4 linked regions of the Xenopus tropicalis genome follow. The protein of the gene in region 1 purifies or fractionates together with the protein of each later gene. This does not show direct contact. Links are inferred from orthologs where the notes say so. Each region holds a gene or a part of one and is shown on either strand. Other genes may lie near its edges. The genes, in order: exosc10, exosc3, exosc5 and exosc4.

Evidence for each region.
Region 2: the proteins of exosc10 (region 1) and exosc3 purify together in Homo sapiens (affinity purification with mass spectrometry; 8 studies listed by BioGRID and IntAct, counting the BioPlex papers as one, with this or other methods). This does not show direct contact. The link is inferred for Xenopus tropicalis from reciprocal best matches to the Homo sapiens genes EXOSC10 and EXOSC3.
Region 3: the proteins of exosc10 (region 1) and exosc5 purify together in Homo sapiens (co-immunoprecipitation; 8 studies listed by BioGRID and IntAct, with this or other methods). This does not show direct contact. The link is inferred for Xenopus tropicalis from reciprocal best matches to the Homo sapiens genes EXOSC10 and EXOSC5.
Region 4: the proteins of exosc10 (region 1) and exosc4 purify together in Homo sapiens (affinity purification with mass spectrometry; 9 studies listed by BioGRID and IntAct, with this or other methods). This does not show direct contact. The link is inferred for Xenopus tropicalis from reciprocal best matches to the Homo sapiens genes EXOSC10 and EXOSC4.

What each region holds. Positions count from the first base shown.
Region 1 is NC_030683.2:64,882,156-64,887,289, reverse strand, and holds part of exosc10 (exosome component 10), read left to right. Parts: intron 1-926; coding exon 927-1,002; intron 1,003-1,091; coding exon 1,092-1,202; intron 1,203-1,301; coding exon 1,302-1,445; intron 1,446-1,528; coding exon 1,529-1,719; intron 1,720-1,805; coding exon 1,806-1,962; intron 1,963-2,036; coding exon 2,037-2,185; intron 2,186-2,294; coding exon 2,295-2,345; intron 2,346-2,555; coding exon 2,556-2,667; intron 2,668-5,134. UniProt on the Homo sapiens protein: Catalytic component of the RNA exosome complex which has 3'->5' exoribonuclease activity and participates in a multitude of cellular RNA processing and degradation events.
Region 2 is NC_030677.2:113,707,349-113,712,945, forward strand, and holds the start of exosc3 (exosome complex component RRP40), read right to left. Parts: upstream 3,291-5,597; 5' UTR 3,199-3,290; coding exon 2,956-3,198; intron 1-2,955. UniProt on the Homo sapiens protein: Non-catalytic component of the RNA exosome complex which has 3'->5' exoribonuclease activity and participates in a multitude of cellular RNA processing and degradation events.
Region 3 is NC_030684.2:79,501,296-79,507,213, reverse strand, and holds the start of exosc5 (exosome complex component RRP46), read left to right. Parts: upstream 1-2,206; 5' UTR 2,207-2,236; coding exon 2,237-2,324; intron 2,325-5,050; coding exon 5,051-5,164; intron 5,165-5,370; coding exon 5,371-5,492; intron 5,493-5,918. Other genes in the region: bckdha (2-oxoisovalerate dehydrogenase subunit alpha, mitochondrial), read right to left, coding at 1,939-2,010. UniProt on the Homo sapiens protein: Non-catalytic component of the RNA exosome complex which has 3'->5' exoribonuclease activity and participates in a multitude of cellular RNA processing and degradation events.
Region 4 is NC_030682.2:151,308,357-151,314,199, forward strand, and holds the start of exosc4 (exosome complex component RRP41), read right to left. Parts: upstream 3,436-5,843; 5' UTR 3,432-3,435; coding exon 3,261-3,431; intron 1,675-3,260; coding exon 1,468-1,674; intron 732-1,467; coding exon 360-731; 3' UTR 1-359. Other genes in the region: E3 ubiquitin-protein ligase TRIM7, read left to right, coding at 5,120-5,843. UniProt on the Homo sapiens protein: Non-catalytic component of the RNA exosome complex which has 3'->5' exoribonuclease activity and participates in a multitude of cellular RNA processing and degradation events.

The sequences.
Region 1 (5,134 bases):
CAAGTTTTCCATGTAGTGGGAAGAGCCAACACAGCACATTATGGGGGGCCAGATTATATGCTAAAAATTTTACAAGTAGATGTTTGTTGATACTGTAAGTGGCCTGAGGTCTAGTGGTTCCAGAAGGGCTAAATTTACAGATAATACTCAGCAACCAACTCAGGTACACAAAGACTACTGAGCAATGTTCCCTCTAAGCTGTGTGCTTGTGCACACACACATTTAGTCCTGTGCACACAGCAAATTTTGGTGCCCACAAAGAAATTTTGTGTGAAAACACCAAATTTTGTATCTATTCCGACCTGAGCACACCATTTTTTAAAATGCCCACACAAGTTTAAAATGTGCTCACATAGTCCAGAAGAATTAGTGGGAACATTTGTGCTAAGATTATTCCTGTTTAAAATTGCCATCTTGAGTTTCAACTGCTTGACCCAGGCATTTGTAAATACTGGGGTCATCTCTGATCTCTTTTTGCTAACAGCTATGCAGCATACTTACCAAATAAATCATTTTAGAGTCCCCTGTAAGGGAAGACACTGGTAAGTCTGGTAATGGTTTTCTTTGTTGCTATCTATGAAGCAATTAAGTGTAGCCTGTATTCAGTTACAGTGCACAATAACAAAGTGGAGACAGTATCTGAGATTTGCAAATGGGATGCTTTATTAAATGTCCATGAGAATACTCACGTGTATAAAACACTTCCCAACATATTCAGCCTTATCTGAAGAAACAAATTTAGAAAAGGGTTGAATAAGTCCTCAAAGTTTGGTGTTCTTTTTTTTTAATAAAGTTTGGAGCATCCCACTTGCAAAACTGTGGTACTGTCTCCATTTCCTGGCTGTATATGCTGACAAGGAAAAGGCCAGGGAGTGTACCTTCCATTGTGTTTTAGTTACTACATTACCATGCTTTCCTTTTTAAAGGTTCTGTCATCCCTATCAGTATGAATTGGATCACTTTGTACCCTTGGAATCGTCAATGGAGAAGCCAGATATTCAGGTGAGACCACAAAAAGGGCAGCCTTTTAATTTGTGTAAGTAATGAGGAATTTGATTTTAATAATTCTAAAAGATCTGTTTTGTCAACAGCCCGTCCTCTCCCTGCAAGATGTCCCATGTAAGTTTGTGATGAAGCTGGAAGACTTAGTGGCACTGAACGAGAAACTGCTACAGTGTGCAGAGTTTGCAGTGGATTTAGAAGTAAGTGATTTGTTTTTTTTTTAGGGATGTTTATGTAGCAAGCTGTGTGCAGAACTTTTTTTTTTTTTATATAAATAACCAATCTTTCTTTCTTGAAAGCATCATTCCTACAGAAGCTTCCTAGGTCTTACATGCTTGATGCAGATTAGCACTCGGACGGAGGATTATATTATTGATGTGCTGGAATTAAGGAGCAACATGTACATTTTAAATGAGAGCTTCACAAATCCCTCTATTATCAAGGTCTGTAAAATGTTATTTTCCCTTTACACCTCAGGGACCCGATTAATGGTGCCTTATTATTCCTTGTTGCAATTTTGTTTTAGGTGCTTCATGGAGCTGATTCAGATATAGAGTGGCTTCAGAAGGATTTTGGCTTATACATAGTAAACATGTTTGACACTCATCAAGCAGCACGTATTCTTAATCTTGGTCGACACTCACTTGATCACCTCCTCAGGTTGTATTGCAATGTGGAGTCAGACAAGCGATATCAGCTTGCTGATTGGAGAATTCGGTGAGTTCCAGCATAAATAATTTACAAACTTTAAACCAATAAAGTATTACCTGTACATAAATTGAAACATTTGTATACAATTTCAGCCCCTTACCTGAAGAAATGATTGAGTATGCTAGAGCAGATACACACTATTTGCTTTTCATATATGACAAAATGCGAACAGCTCTACTAGGTGCAGCCAACAAGCAGCAGAACCTTCTCCAATTGGTATGGCAGAAAAGCAGGGACATTTGTCTGAAGGTAAGACTTTTTCCTAAATGTAACTTTACAAATGCATATATAGAGAATATCCTGACACAGTGTATTTCCTACAGAAATTCACAAAGTCAATCTTTACAGAGGATTCATATCTAGAGCTATACCAAAAGCAAAAGAAACACCTTAACACGCAGCAGTTGACTGCCTTCAGGCTCCTTTTTGCATGGAGAGATAAAATAGCTCGACAGGAAGATGAGAGCACAGGGTAAGGAGATATATGTGTTTATATGATGTCTGTGTCAAGGCTGTTGAATTATACTAAAACATGTCTTTTTAAGTGTTTAACAATAATACATTTATTTTTAATATTGCAGTTATGTGTTACCAAATCACATGTTGCTGAAGATAACTGAGGAACTGCCCAAGTGAGTGCATCATTGATTTTCTTAAAGTATCTTTAATATTCAACAGTTTTAATTCTAAAGCTACAACATTTTAAACTTCAGAAAATTGTATTGCCAAATAGCCCTTTTTTTTTTTTTCTTTTTGTGCTATACTGACCAACACCAACAATATACACCCTATGAATGTTTTTTTTTTTTTTTTTTTAAGAATTTTTGTATGTTCTATTTTAGGGAGCCACAAGGAATCATTGCTTGCTGCAGTCCAGTGCCTCCACTTGTGCGACAACAAATCAATGAATTATCTCTTCTTATTCATCAGGCGCGTGAGACCCCGCTTCTAAAGGTATGTTATTAAATTAAGCAACTGCGCGTCATGCTCAAACCATCTACTGTTTTAAAGGTGTCTACACTGATTTTGTGTCTTATTGGGAGACCAGGTAACACCAATCGAACATGCCTCATTGGAAACCAGACTATTGTAAGCTTGATATTATGGACAACTATGTGAACCTATTCAAGAATCTCGCCAAACTGGAATATATATATATATATATATATATGTGCTTGAGAGAGGGTCAGCACTCACAGGACTTATACAAACAAATTATTTTATTAAAGAGGAGACTAACGTTTCGGCTAGCACTCTAGCCTTTTTCAAAAGGCTAGAGTGCTAGCCGAAACGTTAGTCTCCTCTTTAATAAAATAATTTGTTTGTATAAGTCCTGTGAGTGCTGACCCTCTCTCAAGCACCTTCAACATTATTTGGACCTGCACCCAGGCAACAGCAACTTATCTATACGTGAGTGCCGGCATTTACTTGGAAGTTTATATATATGGGCTGTGTGTTCCCTCTGAGATCACATGACCAGAAATAATGTAGCTTTAACTGTAACAGGTGGAAGTGTGGAATAAAAGGGCAGATTCTGTCCATTAATTGGCTAATGTGACCTAGCATGTATGTGTGTCCATTAATTGGCTAATGTGACCTAGCATGTTTGTGTGAATCCTATGATCCCAGGAGGTGGCCCCTTCATTCTTAAAATGGCAATTTTCTATTTAGGAATACCCAACAGCACATACTGCTAAAGTATATTTTTATGAAAATGGTTTATTTAGATGAAGCTGTGTGTAAGCTTGTTAAAACAATATATTTTATAGAGACCTACATTGTTTGGGGGTATAGTTTTCCTTTAGCAGATACATGGCTGAAACAGATTTATATTAAAAAGTCATTGCTCTGTTGCTATTCATTTATTGGGGCATGAAAAAGCACATAACAGTGAGTGATGTTTGCACAATGAGCATGTAGAACTTCAGGAAGAGGTTAGTTATAAGCCTGGCTACAGGTATTTAAGGTACGCCATGCCAGTACAGCCAGATTCAGCAATGGCAGCCCCCTCATAGAAGAACATGGGGGATCAGGTAATGGAAAAATATTAGGCTACTACTTTTATGGCAAAATTATAAATAGCATGCGAAGAAAATGTTATTTTTCATAAATGATCAGTTTTCTGGAAGGATGGGAGTGGCCTATTTAGAACCTGACACACGGAGATCTTCCTGTATGCTTACATCACATCATCACGTCCAGGCTTCGCCCTTACTTTTTTCCTATTGGACCAATTCAGTGGGTGCTTGTGCACTCCAGTTGCATAAATTGAAAGGTAATCGGTTTCTCCCTTGCAGTGGCATAGGCAAACTGACTCAACATATCACAAATCTAACATACTGTTACAGGAAGCAATGTCAGACTGACTGGAGCCAAGGCCAATAGGAGTTAAGTCTTTATAGGAATCACAATCCCATTAATACATAAAATCTAGAAGCCAGAGGTTCCAAATAGAAGCATAGTAAAGATGCACCTACCCTGTATCCACCCCTCAGATGTGCTGTGCCTATTGTGGCTATTTATTATTCAGTGTTCTACATGTATGCAAGGAAAAATGTGGTTCCATCCACACCAAACTCAGTGACTGTATCTCAGTGAGAGAACCTGATAAAGGGTCAGGCATAAAATCTATGTAACACTAATATGAATAAATTTTGGGGTGTTCTGGTTTCCTCCCAGACTCCCATCCTGACCACTTTGGGAATGTGACAAAATATATTTAAAAAATAATACACTGGGACAGAGACTTATGTAAAAATGATGTATAATCTCTTTAAAGGAGAAGGAAAGTCATTTTGTCAATTTAATGCCAATAGATTTGCCACATTAGTGCCACCTAGAACAATATATTTATTCTGCAGAAACCATTACCATACCTGAGTAAACAGCTTTAGAAGATTTCTCTGTTTGCTTAAGATAACAGCTGCCATTTTAAGTAGCTTCCTGCCTGCAGTCTAGCCGTTAGCTGATATCACACATTCCTAAGGGAGGGGGGAGGGAGTTCTTAGCATTCTGGTGGGAGGGGGAGCAGGAGAAGGGGAGAGAGGAAATAACTTTGCAGGCTCTGGCCACAGGAATTAAGGATGTTTCTGAGAGAGTAAGTCAGACACTGGAACATCATGTTTACAAAAAAAGAGGCAAAAAAATCCTGTGTTTCTTTTGATAGAGTGTAAGTAAGAGAGAGTAAGTGCTTATGGCTGTATTTACATGAAGCTTACTTAGTTTTTACCTACCTTCCCCTTTAAAGCACTGCAGTATGTAAAGAATACAAATAATAATAATACAAATAATTTTACTTATGCCTATTTGAATCTATCTGACAACACATCTTTTCTGGGACCTGTAACTCTGCATGACTCAAAATGCATTTGGACTTTGACCATTTCTAAAATAACCTCTAATTTCTACTTTCCTTTGCAGT
Region 2 (5,597 bases), on another chromosome or scaffold:
GCATGCGCAAGTGAGAAGACATGCCTGCACACTGGGTGGTGGGGTTGCCAGGGCTGCTGCAGTGGGGAAACAGGGTTCGGAACTAGAGGTAGGTAAAAGAAGAGGAAGCTAACTGGCGCCCCCATTGGGGCCACCATTGCGCCCTAGGCAGGTGCCTCTTCTGCCTACCCCTAGTTCCAGCCCTGCTTGGAATGCATTTCTAGGATGTCACTTTCGTACGATTGCTGTCTTTTACTTTCAAAACATCCTTTAATTTATTATTTTAGGATTTTGTCCTATAATTTAAATCTTAGTTTTAGATTGTCGCATTTAAACAATCGATATCCGAACGTTCGTTAGAGGAAGACTAAAATCTGAATGTGTATGGCCACCTTAAAGGGGAGCTATCACCCTAAGAAATAATTCCAAATTAGTTGAGCAAAATAAACTTGACTTACACTACAGTCTTGGAATTACAGAATCGCAGCAAGCAGTGTGTTTATGTGATAGAACAGTGCTGTCCAACTTCGGTGCTACCGAGGGCCGGAATTTTTCCGACCTACGTGGTGGAGGGCCGATAATGGAAGCCAGTTTTGACCACTCCCCTTTTTGAAACCGCACCCACTTGAAACCACACCCGTGTTATCACATGACCATACCCATATTAATGGTTGTAGTACAGCAAAAACCTGCCATACTCTGCCTTCCCTACCCTGCCTGTGTGTGCCATACTCTGCCTTCCCTACCCTGCCTGTGTGTGCCATATTCTGCCTTCCCTACCCAGCCTGCGTGTTCTATACTTTGACTGTGTGTGCCATTCTTGGCTGGTTTGTGCCATACTTGGCCTGTGTGTGCCATACTCTGCCTGCCCTACCCTGCCTGTGTGTGTGTGCCATACTCTGCCTACCCTATGCTGCCTGTGTGTGCCATACTCTGCTGCCCTATGCTGCCTGTGTGTGCCATACTCTGCTTGCCCTATGCTGTATGGCGCACACACAGGCAGCATACAGTGACACAATTCTGTCACTGCTCCTACAGTCTGCACAATAACTATATATTAAAAAAAAAAATTATTTGCAGTACCACCTCAGTATATGTTCTTTTTGTAGTGTGCAGGGATTATTTGTGGGTTTCTACTGCTCCTACAGTTTGAGGTGTGAACAGGGGAACAATGGGGGTGATTACAGCCTGAGGTGTGAACACTGCAGGGGGTGAACAATGCAGGGACTAAAAGGTGTGAACAACACAGGGGATTACATGTTTAAACAATACAGAGGGATTACAGCCTGAATATGACGTGAGAACCATGCAGGGGGCCAGTTAATCTCAGTACTGATACCATTTAAATCTTACACAAGAGTAAGCCATCAAAGCAGCCAGACAGGTGGGGGGCCACACAGAGGGGGGTCGCGGGCCGCCAGTTGGACAGCACTGTGATAGAACGTAGGACCAGATGCCTGGGAGGGGAAAAGTAAAAAAAGCAGCGAAATCTAGGAAGTGCTAAATGGAAAGTTATTGTCTGCCCCGCCTCTATGCCTAAGGCATAGAGGCGGGGCAGGCAATACATGATTGACAGCTGGGATTTTTAAATGCCTTTATAATATTAGGGCATGGATATGTTAATAAAAAACAGAATTTGGGTTTTATGTTTAATTGGAAAAGGACTTTTATTATACAGCTTTTTATGTCTGGATGACAGGTCCCCTTTAAGCCTCAAAAAACAATAACATGTAAACAAAGGTGACCCTTGTTTGGCAGATTCATCCATGTGGCAGTATTTTGTTTTTCTGAGGCTTAAGCTAGTTATACATGGGTTGATAAAGCTGGTGACTTGCCCACCCCAGTCTAATTCAGCAGCCTAAAGTCCTGCGTAAGGGGCCCTTGGGCAGACCCTGACAGATTAAAAAAGGCCATGGCATTTCAAGTACACAGAGGCTAAACAGTCCCCACACCAGCCCAATAAATAGTGAATGTCTATGGCATTTTACGGTAGCCCCTCTGGCATTTGCCAGAATCCACAGATTGCCAGTCCAGGCCTGCTCATAGGCATCAAGTAAGCTTGAGAATCATGTTGCATGTTGAATAGGTATACTATCATTGATGCAGTCCTTTTGGTAATCTAGCATTAAAGCCCTCTTTTCTCGCTTAAAGAAGAAGGAAAGGCTAAGTCACTTGGGGTTGCTAAAATTTTAAGCACCCCCAAGTGACTTGAATCGATTACCTCGTACGCCGGGCTGGTGCCCCTGTTAGGAGAAAACAGCACCAGGCCAGGGCACCTGGGGCGATGCGCTTCCTCCTTTCGGCTTCGTTAAGCTGCGACTCCGAGTCCGGCGCATGCGCAGTAGAGTGAAAAAGCCGCCTTCAGTTCGGCTTTTCACTCTACTGCGCATGCGCACGCGAAGGAGGAAGCGCTGCAGCTACCCCAGGCTGGTGCTGTTCTCTCCGTACAGGGGCACCAGCCCGGGGTAAAAGCGATTAAAGTCACTTGGGGGTGCCTAACATTTTGGCACCCCCAAGTGACTTAGCTTTTCCTTCTCCTTTAAAGTTATGTCAAGACCGCAAAGCTTATGTTAAATCAGTGATCGCCAACCAGTGGCTCCCGAACATGTTGCTCATCAACCCCTTGGATGTTTCTCCCAGTGGGCAGTCTTGAATTTCTGGCTTAAGTTGCATAAAACACAAATGAAGCCTCCTATAGGCGGCCAAATAGTTAATCGCAGCCCATATTTTCTGTTCAAAAGGGTAAAAAAAAAGTTGGTGATCCCTTTAGTAAATGAACGCTGCCCACCAGTTAATACTGCAGGAAAACAAAGGATAAATGACCATTTAATAACCAAATTGCATTAGGAGTTGGATTTTATAGGTGCTTCATAGGTGAGTAATGTGCTGCACATAAAAGTACTAGGAAAAAAGCAAGTATAATTGTGCCCTAGCACCGAGACCAGGCGTTCCCAACACACAGAAAGAGACCATTACCCGCTTTTGCTGAGAATCAACCCAGTAGATTGCCGGGTCCCTGTGCCGCAGGAGCCCACACTTATTCACTAGCAGATCATCCTCCTGCCGCATGAGCCCGGGGCCACACACAACCCGGGGCCTGTTAGATGTAGAGGGGCCGCTCAGAGACAGAGGAGCATCCCGGGACTGGGTAGAAAGAACAAGCACATCCCCAGGCAGAACGATCTGACCGACCGCATCTTCAATACTCACGGCTGACATGCTGCTATCAGAGCGGAAGTGCGTCTGCCTACTACACTTAGCACGTGACGGTAATACACCAATAGATTTGCAAGGAAGCAAGTACTGGAGAGCTGGGCAAGGGTTCGAAAAGCGATTCAATTCTACTCAATTCAATTCTTTTGTTCCGTATAGTGCAGTGTTCTGGCTGATCGCTAGATGGCGGCAGTGTTCTCTTTTTGTGTTTTCTTTTCCCAAATCGCTGCCAGTATTTATTTTTCTAACCTGGCCCAATAGTATTTAGGAAAGTGACTTGCAGTCTGTGCTGATCTAGTCATTGTCTTCTTATGCAATAAATAGTGACTTCAACCCACTTACAGTGTTAGAAATTGCCTGTTGGGTGACATATTTGTATGGAAAGGCAATGCTGCCATCAGAAATTATGGGCAAGTTTTTTTGTCTGCCACCTCTTCCCAAAATTATGTGCAATTATAAAATTCATACTATCTTTAAAAGTGCCTCGTTTATTGGAGCTCCCTATAGATCAGGGCCCCCCAACCTTTTTTACTAGTGAGCAACACAAGCGCAAAAAAAGCTCTTTGGGGATGCCAAATAAGGGCTGTGATTGGCTGTTTGGTAGCCACATGTAAACTGCTGGCCTGTAGGAGGCTCTGCTTGGAGTAAAATGTGTTTCTGTGCTTTCAAATCATGCCTCCAAGCCAGAAATTTAAAAATAGGCACCTACTTTGAGGTCACTGAACATCAAAAGGGGTGGTGAGCAACATGTTGCCCCCAAGCCACTGGTTGGGGACCACTGCTATAGATCCTGGCAGGTCCTTATCTGTTTACCTCAAATTCAGGCTGAAATCCCCTGCATTATTCATCAAAGTACAAGTTCAAATTCCAAATTGAGAAAAATTTGGATTAAATACAATAATTTCTGATGACAGCAAATATCACAAACATGCTTACAAAAAAATCGTATTAGTCACGATAATATCTTATTGGCGATCCGAAAGTCACAATTTTCGTATCTGAACGATCGTAAACAGCAGGAAAACCTTTCTGACATTGATCCTTCTGTGCATGATTTTGGAAGCCTCCAATAGGACTCAACGGCACTCTGCAGCTCCAACCTGGCCCAAGGAAAGTCTCCCATAGGGCTCAATGGCACTCTGCAGCTCCAACCTGGCCCAAGGAAAGTCTCCCATAGGGCTCAATGGCACTCTGCAGCTCCAACCTGGCCCAAGGAAAGTCTCCCATAGGGCTCAATGGCACTCTGCAGCTCCAACCTGGCCCAAGGAAAGTCTCCCATAGGGCTCAATGGCACTCTGCAGCTCCAACCTGGCCCAAGGAACGTCTCCCATAGGGCTCAATGGCACTCTGCAGCTCCAACCTGGCCCAAGGAAAGTCTCCCATAGGGCTCAATGGCACTCTGCAGTTCCAACCTGGCCCAAGGAACGTCACGATACCAAAGCTTGAGTGAATCCGAAAAGTTCGTACTCGGCGCAACAATACAATTTTGTCGCACAAATTTTGTCGCAAAGTACCAAAAAGTCGCAGAAAATACGCACAGTACAATCAAATACAAATTTTTTGTAATTCGTACCTGTCGTACTTTAATAAATAGGCCCCATAGTGTATCTAGCGTTTTTTTTCAGCAAGCTGAAAACCACTTGCCAAAAATACGCTACATCTGCTTAAAAATCCCCCTAACTCTGCCTGCACTCAAATGCATCGAATATGCTTGGGTGCAGGCACATGTAGCAGATACTTGCTGAAAAAACAAAGTCTTGCCTTTTTTGTCGGATATCGGCTGCTTGTGCCTGGGCACAGGCACAGGGATTTTCAATGCCCCGTTTGATATCAGCCTTAGCCCGTGTTTTCACACCGGACAGACTGTAGGAGCAATGCTGGAGTGGTCATGATGAGTAACTTGTGTAATCATGGAAGTTAGGTTTTTCTGTCTCCTTTCCTACTCTGCCTGTCCCGCCTTGCCCTGTTTATCCTGCCTATGTGTGCCATCCTTTGCCTGCCCTGCTCTACCCACCTGTGTGTGCCATCCTTTGCCTGCCCTGCTCTACCCACCTGTGTGTGCCATCCTTTGCCTGCCCTGCTCTACCCACCTGTGTGTGCCATCCTTTGCCTGCCCTGCTCTACCCACCTGTGTGCCATCCTTTGCCTGCCCTGCTCTACCCACCTGTGTGTGCCATCCTTTGCCTGCCCTGCTCTACCCACCTGTGTGCCATCCTTTGCCTGCCCTGCTCTACCCACCTGTGTGTGCCATCCTTTGCCTGCCCTGCTCTACCCTGCCTGTGTGTGCCATCCTTTGCCTGCCCTGCTCTACCCTGCCTGTGTGTGCCATCCTTTGCCTGCCCTGCTCTACCCTGCCTGTGTGTGCCATCCTTTGCCTGCCCTGCTCTACCCTGCCTATGTGTGCC
Region 3 (5,918 bases), on another chromosome or scaffold:
TAAGTAAAAACTTGATAATAAATATTAAAAAAGTAGTGCAATCAGAGCCAGCCCAGCCTCTCTGACTAACTTGAGTGTATTTGTTGTATTTCACCTGTTAAAAAAGGCTATTTTATTTGGTATGGTGAGGATTGATTGTGATCTTGCAAACATGCATGCCAATGCATAGCAGCACAATACTGTTAATTAGTGTTTTAGTGTAGTGTATTATTTTGATATTGTCCTTACCTTTGTATTTAAGGGCACAGCAATAGCTGTAGAACATTCTACAGGAGAATAACCACAGAGAAAATAAAAGCCTGTTGGCACACAGATTTACAAAAGAAATTGACCCTGAAGTCTGAAGATAAACTGACCATTTCAACTAGAGCACAATATGGAATTTTCACATTACCAACAAAGCCCAAAAACCTAGTGCAATTTCACTAAGGTTGTACAATGTGAAAATGCTGCACCTTTGTTTCTATTAATGCTGAGCTGCAACACGAGTGCAGCGAGCAACAGCGTCCCGCCCTAAATGGCAGCCAATCAGTGCACAGCTCTGCAGACAAGCCTCCCCATACAATCAGTGACCTTCCAATACCCAGGAAGCTTAACTGACTTAATACAAACAGCAAGACCGGCAAATGTCACTTTCCTCCTAAACCCCCTCACTCTTATCCTCACTTTACTCCTCCATTTGACACCTAGTATTAAGGATAAAACCTTTTATTTGGCCTTTATTTCAAGTGTCATCCTTCCGGTTTACATATTTCTGTCCTTTAACCCTTTCAATGCTGTCCAAAACAGAATCTATGGCACATTAGCTGTTAAATCAGACAAATACTAGGCATATCCTAATTAAACTGTAGTAATAGTTATTTAATATGCAAGAATAAGTAATAATTAAAACCATCTAGTTTTGCTCCAGACCACGGGGCTCTTCAAGAGGTTATGTTCCCCTACAGGCCAAAGTGCTCCTCTGATTTCTGTCCATGACATTATCATTGTATTATAATCCAGCTCCAAAATGTATGGTATAGTGCTGGGGGAGGGGGTTCCATATTTTTTTTTCCCACCAGAGCATCACACATCTTTAATGCGTAACACCTTGGTCTTGCCCGTTAAATCACATAACTAAAAGCACAATTTAGGCTACAAGTATCTGCAAATAATTATGTTTTCTAAAAACATTTTACACTGCACCATGAAAAAAAAGTTAGAACACCTTGAAAATATATATTCTTTCCCGTATGCAAAAACACAGAGAATCCAATACAGTGTAAGCAATAACTGTGGTACAGTACAGAACTAGGAATATTACTAGAATGTTGCTTCTATAATACTCCAACCTATAATATTCCAGTCCCAGAACTGCTGATCAAAAGCACAGGCAATTTTATACAAATACTTATATATAGATATGTACAGGGCTGTGTATACAAGTAGCACTATACAAATATATACCTGGAAATATGTGTGTGCATTTTGGGAGTATGTATACAAACATATTCTTCCTATTTATATAGCTGAAACAATGTTGTCACCAGCTGGTTTATGGACAGACAATCAACCAACCTGTTATTTAAGGCTAAAGCATATAAATGTATATACTATATAAGCTGTAAATTCAAATGTAAATTTGACTCCTTACAAATCTAGTCAGCAATATCACATATTTTTACATAATTCTGAACTGTAACTATAACCCACGTTTATTATAGCATATAACTTTTAAAACACATCTCCCAATTCAAACAGTTCTTGTAGTTCCCATGTATATACGTCAGACAGGCATACTAGTATTTTAGATGCGATGTACCTTATGGTACAAGATGTGTATACTTCTCAGTATACAAGACCAGGGTCTCGCATTTAGAAATAAAACATTTAAACTCCCCTTCCATCTGATTATCGTCTGTTTCACTCACACCAACGCGACCCCTGTACTCCTCTCACCTGTCTCCCACCGGCGCCTCTCCACCCTCCTGCCACAGTCCGGACCCTTAGAAGTGCCCTCAGCGCCGCCATCTTGCTTCGGAATGCTATCCCACTGCCTACATTTCTCTTAGGACCCCTATTCAACAGCTTGTCAAAAATAACCTCTGAAGTGAGAAATTGCGAGAATTGCGTATTTCCTATTATTCCCTGGGAAAAAAGGCTTTGGCATTGTTGTGTATAATTATACAGGCAAGTGTGGCGGTTGCCAGACCCCAAGGACCCCGGAAGTGTTTGCACATGTGGAAAGAAGGTTCTGATGGAGGCTGTAGGTTCTGTATTGCGGGAATACGGGTGTGAGCAGAGTTTGCTGAGCCGTCCCGATGGATCCGCTACGTTTCTTCAGGGTTAGTTTTGGCGCGCCTATAATTCCTCAAATCTTATGTGGAATACGAGGATATCAAGGGATACATATTGAAGGGAAGCGTAAAATGTTTTGCGGCTAAATCATTGGATGGAAATTGAATTGTAAATCCAGTGGCCGTTATTCTCATTTAATGGAACAGCTCTTCCATGTTGTCATAATGCAGAGGACAGCAATGGGGAATGTATGTGTTGTATTTGTCTAAAGTAGGTGGTTGCTGAACTGCAAACTTGTAAATTAAGCAATTTTCCAATATAGGATAATAAAAAATGTTCATGATTTTAAAATTGATACAATTGTTACTGAGAAAAAAGTTTCAGCCTGTTTATTGCAACTCTCTCCTGGTTTCCCCAGCTACTCTTAAAGGAACAGTAACATCAAAAAATGAAAGTGTTTTAAAGTAATTAAAATATAATGTGCTGTTGCTCTGCAAAAAACTGGTGTTTTTGCTACAGAAAAGCTACAATATAAATAAGCTGCTGTGTAGCCACGGGGGCAGCCATTCAAGCTGGAAAAAAGGAGAAAAGGCACAGGTTACGTAGCCGATAACTAGTAGATAAGCCCCATATAATGGGGGTTTATCTGTTATCTGTTAAGTAACCTGTGCCTTTTCTCCTTTGAATGGCTGCCCCCATAGCTACACAGCAGCTAACTTATATAAACTATAGTAGTCTTTCTGAGGCAAACACACCAGTTGTAGCAATATAGGGCAACAGTACATTATATTGTAATTACTTTTATACACTTTCATTTTTTGGTGTTACTGTTCCTTTAACTACTCCAAATCTCACAATGCCTTGCTTGTTCTGCCATTATCAGCTGCAAAGTAAAATAAAAGAATAGTACAAGGCAAATTTGTAGGAACTGAGGTGGTGGTGAGGAGAGACATTTTTTATTTAATTATTTCTATAGTCTGGTAGCAAATAATAGCAAAGGCAGACAAACTGCTCTTGGAATTTTATTTAGAAATTACTTAAAAAAAAACATTTAACATGTTTAATTCCTGCATATTATAACACTGCTTAAAATTACAATTCATTTGTACAAATACATATATATTTATTTAGGAAAAGGTCCTTTAAAATATTGGACACCAAATTGAATTGGGGACAGACTGACCATACTCTTACTCTAGAGCTATAAACGGTCATGTACAGCACTGTGATTATGATACCTGTGTGTACGCATTTAAATAAACCAAAATATAGGGAATATACACCATATTAAAAAATATAAGGGTATTGGAAGTCTCCTTAGAGTGCCATGACCATATACAGGCACAGAACCAAAGGCCAAGTGGTTTAATACAGGTCATTGAACTCTGAGGTGGCTTCTAATATCCACATATTTTACAACAGAGGAGGTTTTAGTCAGTAAATTATACAAATTACATCACTGATCAATGTTGGTAAAGAAAATCTTGTGTATTATAGCTATAGGGGCTTGTAGTTTTGGGCTCCTAGGCTCTGCACCATATTCAATTTTAGAATAAAGATTAGAAATGAGTTTCAACAAAAAATGTGAGCTATCCTTACAAAGTAGCAATCCAGTACCATGTTTAGGTGGTTTATAGCATTTTGACCAGTTAATAATTTTTAATGCAGTATAATTTTTAATGCAGTTCTCCAGTCACACAAAAATAGATTAATTCGGAAAAAAGAAACTAAAGGGTGTAAGCACATTGACCTAGATATCAAGCAGGTATATCATGGTGGCTTAGAATTCACACCAAACTCTCTGCAACTCTGTTCTACCAAGCTGCATTGATCAAGACCTATCACTTTATCCACCTTGTGTACAGTTTTACTCACCACCTTTTTATACCTATCACCATTTGAAAACTCGAAAGAGGGACACAATTAACTGCCATGCTCCTCCCGCCATTTGAAAACTACAAAGAGGGACACAGTTAACTGCCATGGTATGACTGCACCCACATTTTACCACACCCAAAATACCATGATCATAAAATTAAAACTAAAACCAAAAAAAAAAATCCAGACATGCCAGTAAAATCACTGCATAAATAACCAGAGAAGCCTCCATTAACTAAAGACATGACCATAAGATCACTGCATAAAATGGGTAGATTGAATGCATTGCCTCACTTAAGTTGCACAAGCAGCAAATCACAAACTTGTTCTTTTCTAGTACCCCCATGGTGCTTGTCATTTTGCCTTTGCCTGAAAAGGCAATTTTTCCATTTCCACAGTGGAACTTACGGCCATCTGTGATTATGATTGGCTGTGTTTGAGCCCCTGCTGAGATTGCTTTAAAGAAGAAAGAAAGGTAAAAACTCATAATTCAGGTTCGTTTATATATCACACAGGCAGTAATCTGGCTACTGTAGTTTTATGTGACTAAAGCTGACATACATGCACCGATGCACCTAGTTTCATACGATATTCACTGTGTGTATGGTGGATCGACGAGGTGAACATCACAAAAGCTTCGGATATGTCGCCTCGTGGAACGGGCGGGACAGAAGACTTTTATACGAGCAAAATCTGTGTTTAGGGCTTAATTGTCAGGTGGAGGTAGAATCCTTATTGTTTCTACCTCCATATCTGACAATTCAACTCTGAATGCCAGTGGAGGGTGGGAACGATCTTTCCTGAGACAAATGGTTGCAGGAAAGATTGTAATTGTAAGGTGTATGGCCACCTTAAGGCTAACTGTTCAACTGATTTCCATGTTGCTTTCCTGTAGGCGACACATCTGTAATGGCTGGAGTATATGGCCCTGCAGAGATCAAGGTCAGCAGAGAAATCCATAATAAAGCCACATTAGAGGTGATCCTCAGGCCCAAGACTGGGTTGCCTGGTAGGTGCTTCCATCAGAGACATGTTCTGTTTTTCTGAAGGCAAGAATTACATCTAACAGCTAACAGACAAATACTTTGCATCATTGCAGTCTAACCACAAAAAAGTTGCCCATGTGACATGTTTCTGGTTTTCTGTACTTAGACATTTCTTTTCACTTTTTATCTACCTGGAATATCATTCTTTTTTTTTTTTTATTCCCCAAAGCTATCCAGGAGAAAAACCAGGAGCAGCTAATTCGTGAAACATGTGAATCTGTCATCATTGGATCCTTGCATCCTAGAACCTCAATAACCATTGTGCTACAGATAGTCAGTGATGCTGGATCTGTATCCTAAACCCACTTTGATATTCTAGCTTTTGACTATTATAGGCAATAACAAATTTTATTGTGTTTTTTATTTGTGCCTACTGTAATAAGCACAGGGGTCAGTCTGTCTTTGAAATTCATGATTTGCTGTGCTAATAAGATGTAAGTGGTGAAATCATTTATGTGTACATTATGGAACAGCTTTTGCAAGACTGAGATACACAATCTACTGCAATTTGTGGATGGCCATAGGAGGAATAATTGAGATTCCCTTTTTACAGAAGGATGAAGGGAAGATATGCATCTGGTTAGTATTTTAAACAGCTTAGTTTGACTGAAAATCTCACAAACCGCAGATAAACAAGGTGCAAAATACATGGAGAACATCTGCTCAAATGACTTAGTAATGAGCGATTTTTTGCCAGGTTTTGCTGCAAAAAAACAT
Region 4 (5,843 bases), on another chromosome or scaffold:
ATATGAATAGGGGAGGGGCTGAATAGAAAGATAAGGAATAAAAAGTAACAATAACAATAAAACTGGAGCCTCACAGAGCAATAGGGTTTGGCTGCCGGGGTCAGTGACCCCCATTTGAAAGATGCAAAGAGTCAGAAGCAAAAATAAATAATAAAGACCAATTGAAAAGTTGCTCAGAATTGGCCAATCTATAACATACTAATAGTTAACTTAAAGGTAAACCCACCCCATTACCTGTAATTCAAGATACAAGTCAGGCCCCACCCCCTCCTGTTTATTACGCAGTCCTGAGAGAAAGTAGATCGTCATTCGAGTGAGTTGCCTGGGCAGGAAGCCCAAACTAGCCGAGCCAATCAGATTCAAGCTGCTGTGCGGTCCCCCAGCAGGGTAGTGAGCTCCTGTAAGTGCTCCCGCACCACCTGATCCAGGACAGCGTACACATCCTTGCACGCCTTGCTCGCGGCATCCATCACCCGCTCCAGGTGATCCTCGTGCAGCCGCGAGTTCATCTCCAGCAGCGCAATCTGATCCGACTTGGGGAGGAGGGCCAGGGCGAGTTGGGGCCCTCCGGCGGCTTCTTCCACGTAGCTGAGATCCGCGAGGGGCGTGTCCTCGATGAAGCCCGCCGAGCTGGCGCACACGTAGTCGCGCATGGGAATGCCGGCGTCGATCACGGCCAGGGTGGCGGCATTCACACATGTGCAGTAGTTGCCCCCGTCTGCTTGCAGGATCTGGGCAGGGAGAGTCATGTGATCATATCCAGCGCAGCACAACACGGGAGCCAGTATGGCAGCACCAAGATACCACATACATGCACCACTGAGATATCCCCACATAGTGACTCCCAGGAACTACTCTTGGTGGCCAGGGGGATGCTGGGAATTTTAGTACAGCCCAAGGGCCACAGATTGGGGACCACTGACTAAAGGATTTGGGGGGTTCACCTTTAAGTTAACTTTTAGTACGTTATAGAATGGCCAATTCTAAGCAACTTTTCAATTGGTCTTCATTATTTATATTTTTTATAGTTTTTTATCTATTTCCCTTCTTCTTCTGACTCTTTGCAGCTTTCAAATGGGGGTCACTGACCCCGGCAGCCAAACCCTATTGCTCTGTGAGGCTCCAGTTTTATAGTTATTGTTACTTTTTATTCCTTATCTTTCTATTCGGCCCCTCCCCTATTCATATACCAGTCTCTCATTCAAACCACTCCCTGGTCGATAAGGTAATTTGGATCCTAGCAACCAGATAGCTGCTGAACAAGTGAAACAACTAAAAAACTACAAATATAAAAATGAAGACCAATTGCAAATTGCCTCAGAATATCACTCTCATACTAACAGTTTAACTCAAAGGTGAACCTCCCCTTTAAGGTCAATTTAAAGTGAAACAGCCCCTATTTAAGCCCCGCACTATTGTTACAACTTGCCGATGCCCCACCCACTGGCTGATGCCCCTCCCACTCACCTGCACGTAGATATCTATCTGTGAGCGCGGGTACAACTGGGTGAGGATGGCGGCCTCGAACGTCTGCTTTAGGTGCAGGGTCATCTCGCTGGACTTGCGGTCCCCGTGGGGGCGGCGCTTCCTCTCGCCGGTGCTGAAGGTCGCCATACTGTACTGGCAGTTCACCACTGAGCGGTCGTGGAGCATTTTACTGCGAGAGCCGCGGATCTGTGGGCACAGCGTTACGGGCACCGTTACACATGGAACTGGGGTATGGGGGCGGGACTAGCAGTGGGCACAGGCAGCCGTGTGTAGGCAGGGTAAGTATCCCAGCAGCAACCACTTACCCACCCCCATACTGTGCCAACCCCTTACCCACCCACCCCCATACTGTGCCAACCCCTTACCCACCCCCATACTGTGCCAACCCCTTACCCACCCCCATACTGTGCCACCCCTTACCCACCCCCATACTGTGCCAACCCCCCCCATTATCCCACCCCCTACTACTGTGCCACCCCCTTACACCCCCCCCATACTTGCCAACCCCTTACCCACCCCCATACTTGCCTACCCCTTACCCACCCCCATACTTTGCCTACCCCTTACCCACCCCCATACTGTGCCAACCCCTTACCCACCCCCATACTTTGCCTACCCCTTACCCACCCCCATACTGTGCCAACCCCTTACCCACCCCCATACTGTGCCAACCCCTTACCCACCCCATACTGTGCCAACCCCTTACCCACCCCCATACTGTGCCACCCCCTTACCCACCCCCATACCCACCCACCCCCATACTGTGCCACCCCCTTACCCACCCCCCATACTGTGCCAACCCCTTACCCACCCCCATACTTTGCCTACCCCTTACCCACCCCCATACTTTGCCTACCCCTTACCCACCCCCATACTTTGCCTACCCCTTACCCACCCCCATACTGTGCCAACCCCTTACCCACCCCCATACTGTGCCTACCCCTTACCCACCCCCATACTGTGCCAACCCCTTACCCACCCCCATACTGTGCCAACCCCTTACCCACCCCCATACTGTACCAACCCCTACCCACCCCATACTGTACCAACCCCTTACCCACCCCCATACTGTGCCAACCCCTTACCCACCCACCCCCATACTGTGCCAACCCCTTACCCACCCCCACTGTGCCACCCACTTACCCACCCCCATACTGTGCCAACCCCTTACCCACCCCCATACTGTGCCACCCACTTACCCACCCCCATACTGTGCCAACCCCTTACCCACCCCCATACTGTGCCAACCCCTTACCCACCCCCATACTGTGCCAACCCCTTACCCACCCCCATACTGTGCCACCCCCTTACCCACCCCCATACTGTGCCAACCCCTTACCCACCCCCATACTGTGCCACCCACTTACCCACCCCCATACTGTGCCAACCCCTTACCCACCCCCATACTGTGCCAACCCCTTACCCACCCCCATACTGTGCCAACCCCTTACCCACCCCCATACTGTGCCAACCCCTTACCCACCCCCATACTGTGCCACCCACTTACCCACCCCCATACTGTGCCACCCACTTACCCACCCCCATACTGTGCCACCCACTTACCCACCCCCATACCCACCCACCCCCATACTGTGCCAACCCCTTACCCACCCCCATACTGTGCCAACCCCTTACCCACCCCCATACTGTGCCACCCACTTACCCACCCCCATACTGTGCCACCCACTTACCCACCCAAGTAACCCAGCGGTCTCTCCCCTATAGTAATGCCTCTGAGCCATTCAGCCCGTCCGTGTGGCCCCAGCACTCACCTCATGGGGCCCATATACCACAGCCAGGGCCTTGGTGTTCCCCTGCTCGATATAAGCGGAGCCATCGGCCTGAGCGAACACTCCCATCCTGGCCCGTATCTTGCGCAGCTCCCCGGCTTTCCTGCCATCCACCCGGTAGCCCTGGTCCGACAGCAGCTCCAGCCCCGCCATCCCGCACCACGTTCTCACGGTATAAACTACAACTCCCAGAAACCACCGCGCCGCCACTTTCCGTTCCTCTTTCCGGAAGTGTCTGGGTGCCCGCCTCCACGTCACATAAAGGGGCGGTGCCAAAGTGATAGTTACTTCGTGTAGTAGAATTGCGCTTTTACCTCAGTTCGTTACAAGTGGCGCTAATTCCTATTGCTGGTCCCTATGGCGCTATTGTGCGGCCCAGTTGGGCTCTGAGCCATGTTTCCTATTTCACACTGTTATTTTCCCATGTTACTGAGCAGAAACTGTATATATATATATATTATGTTCCCCTGTCACTGTGCAGCCTACTCACCTATGGGTTTTCCCCATAGTAACCAGGAAAGGAACATTCCACTGAGCATTTACATTTTCCCTTTCACTGTAGATTCATAGTACTGACACTGTTACACAGCAAATAATTCCCTCTGCCATTTAACCTTTTATTCTTCAACCAACAAATGTATTTGTAGCTGTAATATTGGCGTGTAGGCGCCATCTCAGTGCCTTGTGCCTGAGTCTGAGCTTTCAGCCAGCGCTACACATTAGAACTGCTTTCAGCTAACCTATTGTTTCCCCTACTCCCATGTAACTGGGGGAGTCCCAAGCCGGACTTGGATTTCTTACTATTGAGTGCTATTCTGATACCTACTGGGAGCTGCTATCTTGCTCCCTTCCCATTGTTCTGCTGATCGGCTGCTGGGGGTGAGGGGGGGGGATATCACTCCAACTTGCAGCGCAGCAGTAAAGTGTGCCTGAGTCTGAGCTTTCAGCCAGCGCTACACATTAGAACTGCTTCCAGCTAACCTATTGTTTCTCCTACTCCCATGTAACTGGAGGAGTCCCAAGCCGGACTTGGATTTCTTACTATTGAGTGTTATTCTGATACCTACTGGGAGCTGCTATCTTGCTCCCTTCCCATTGTTCTGCTGATCGGCTGCTGGGGGGGAGGGGGGGATATCACTCCAACTTGCAGCGCAGCAGTAAAGTGTGCCTGAGTCTGAGCTTTCAGCCAGCGCTACCCATTAGAACTGCTTTCAGCTAACCTATTGTTTCTCCTACTCCCATGTAACTGGAGGAGTCCCAAGCCGGACTTGGATTTCTTACTATTGAGTGCTATTCTGATACCTACTGGGAGCTGCTATCTTGCTCCCTTCCCATTGTTCTGCTGATCGGCTGCTGGGGGTGAGGGGGGGGGATATCACTCCAACTTGCAGCGCAGCAGTAAAGTGAAACTGAAGTTTATTAGGGCTCAGGTCACATGGCTGTGGCACCCTGGGAAATGAAGAATATGGCTAGCCCCATGGGAAAAACAGATTACAATGCAGGATTCAGCGGGAGACGCTCTATTAACTGATGGGTTTTGAAAAAACATGTTTTCCCATGACATTATTGCTTTAATAGGAACAGTTCTGGGCTCCATCTGTTTGGGCTACTTTAGAGTCATTGGCTTTAGAGTCCTACATTGCAGATGTTTAGAGCTTGTGAAAGGTGCAGTGGCTACAAGTTGAGTGGGAAGAAGGGGTTAATAAACTGTGTGCTGAGCGCTCAGCTCCTTTCCGTGCCTCTGGCCACGCCTCCTGCCTTGGTGCCTGAGGGATCCAGTAAAACGAGTTTCGATTCTTTGTGACTCGGAGGAACTTTCCATTCTTTCTCCTTGTTCCACGATGGCGGCGGCTGCTGATGTGAGAGTCGAGGTAACGTGCACCGTGTGCCTGAACATTTACACCGAGCCCGTAACTCTGCCCTGCGGCCATAACTTCTGCCTGAGCTGCATTGGCAAAACCTGGGACTGGCAGGAAGGGATAGAGGAGCAGCCTTCCTGCCCCGAATGCAGAGAGAGATTCCGGACACGACCGGAACTCAAAAAGAACTCACGGCTGCGGAACATTGCGGAACATTTTCGTTCTGAGCAGCCAAAGCAAAACAAGACTGACATTTACTGTACCTACTGCGATGCTTCGGTGCCCGCTGCCAAGTACTGCGTGCGGTGTGAGGCTTCCCTGTGCGACAGTCACGTGCAACTACACAGCAGCGCAGAGGAACACGTCCTAGTGGAACCCACCGCCTCCCTGGCCAAGCGCAAATGCGCCGTGCACAACCGGCTGCTGGAGTACCACTGCCGAGAGGATGGCGCCTCTATCTGTGCCTCCTGCTGCCTGGTGGGGGCGCACCGAGGGCACAACGTGGAGCAGCTGAGTGAGGCCTCCGAGAAGGAGAAAAAGAAACTTAAAAAGGTTCTGGAATATCTGATCCCTGCCAAAGAGGTGACAGAGAAGAGTCTGCTGAAGCTGAAGGACAGCAGAGACAAGGTCCAAAAGAGAGCGGCTGCAGAGAGCGAGCACGTCTCTGCCCTGTTTAGAACCATCCGGGAATGGTTGGAAAGCCTAG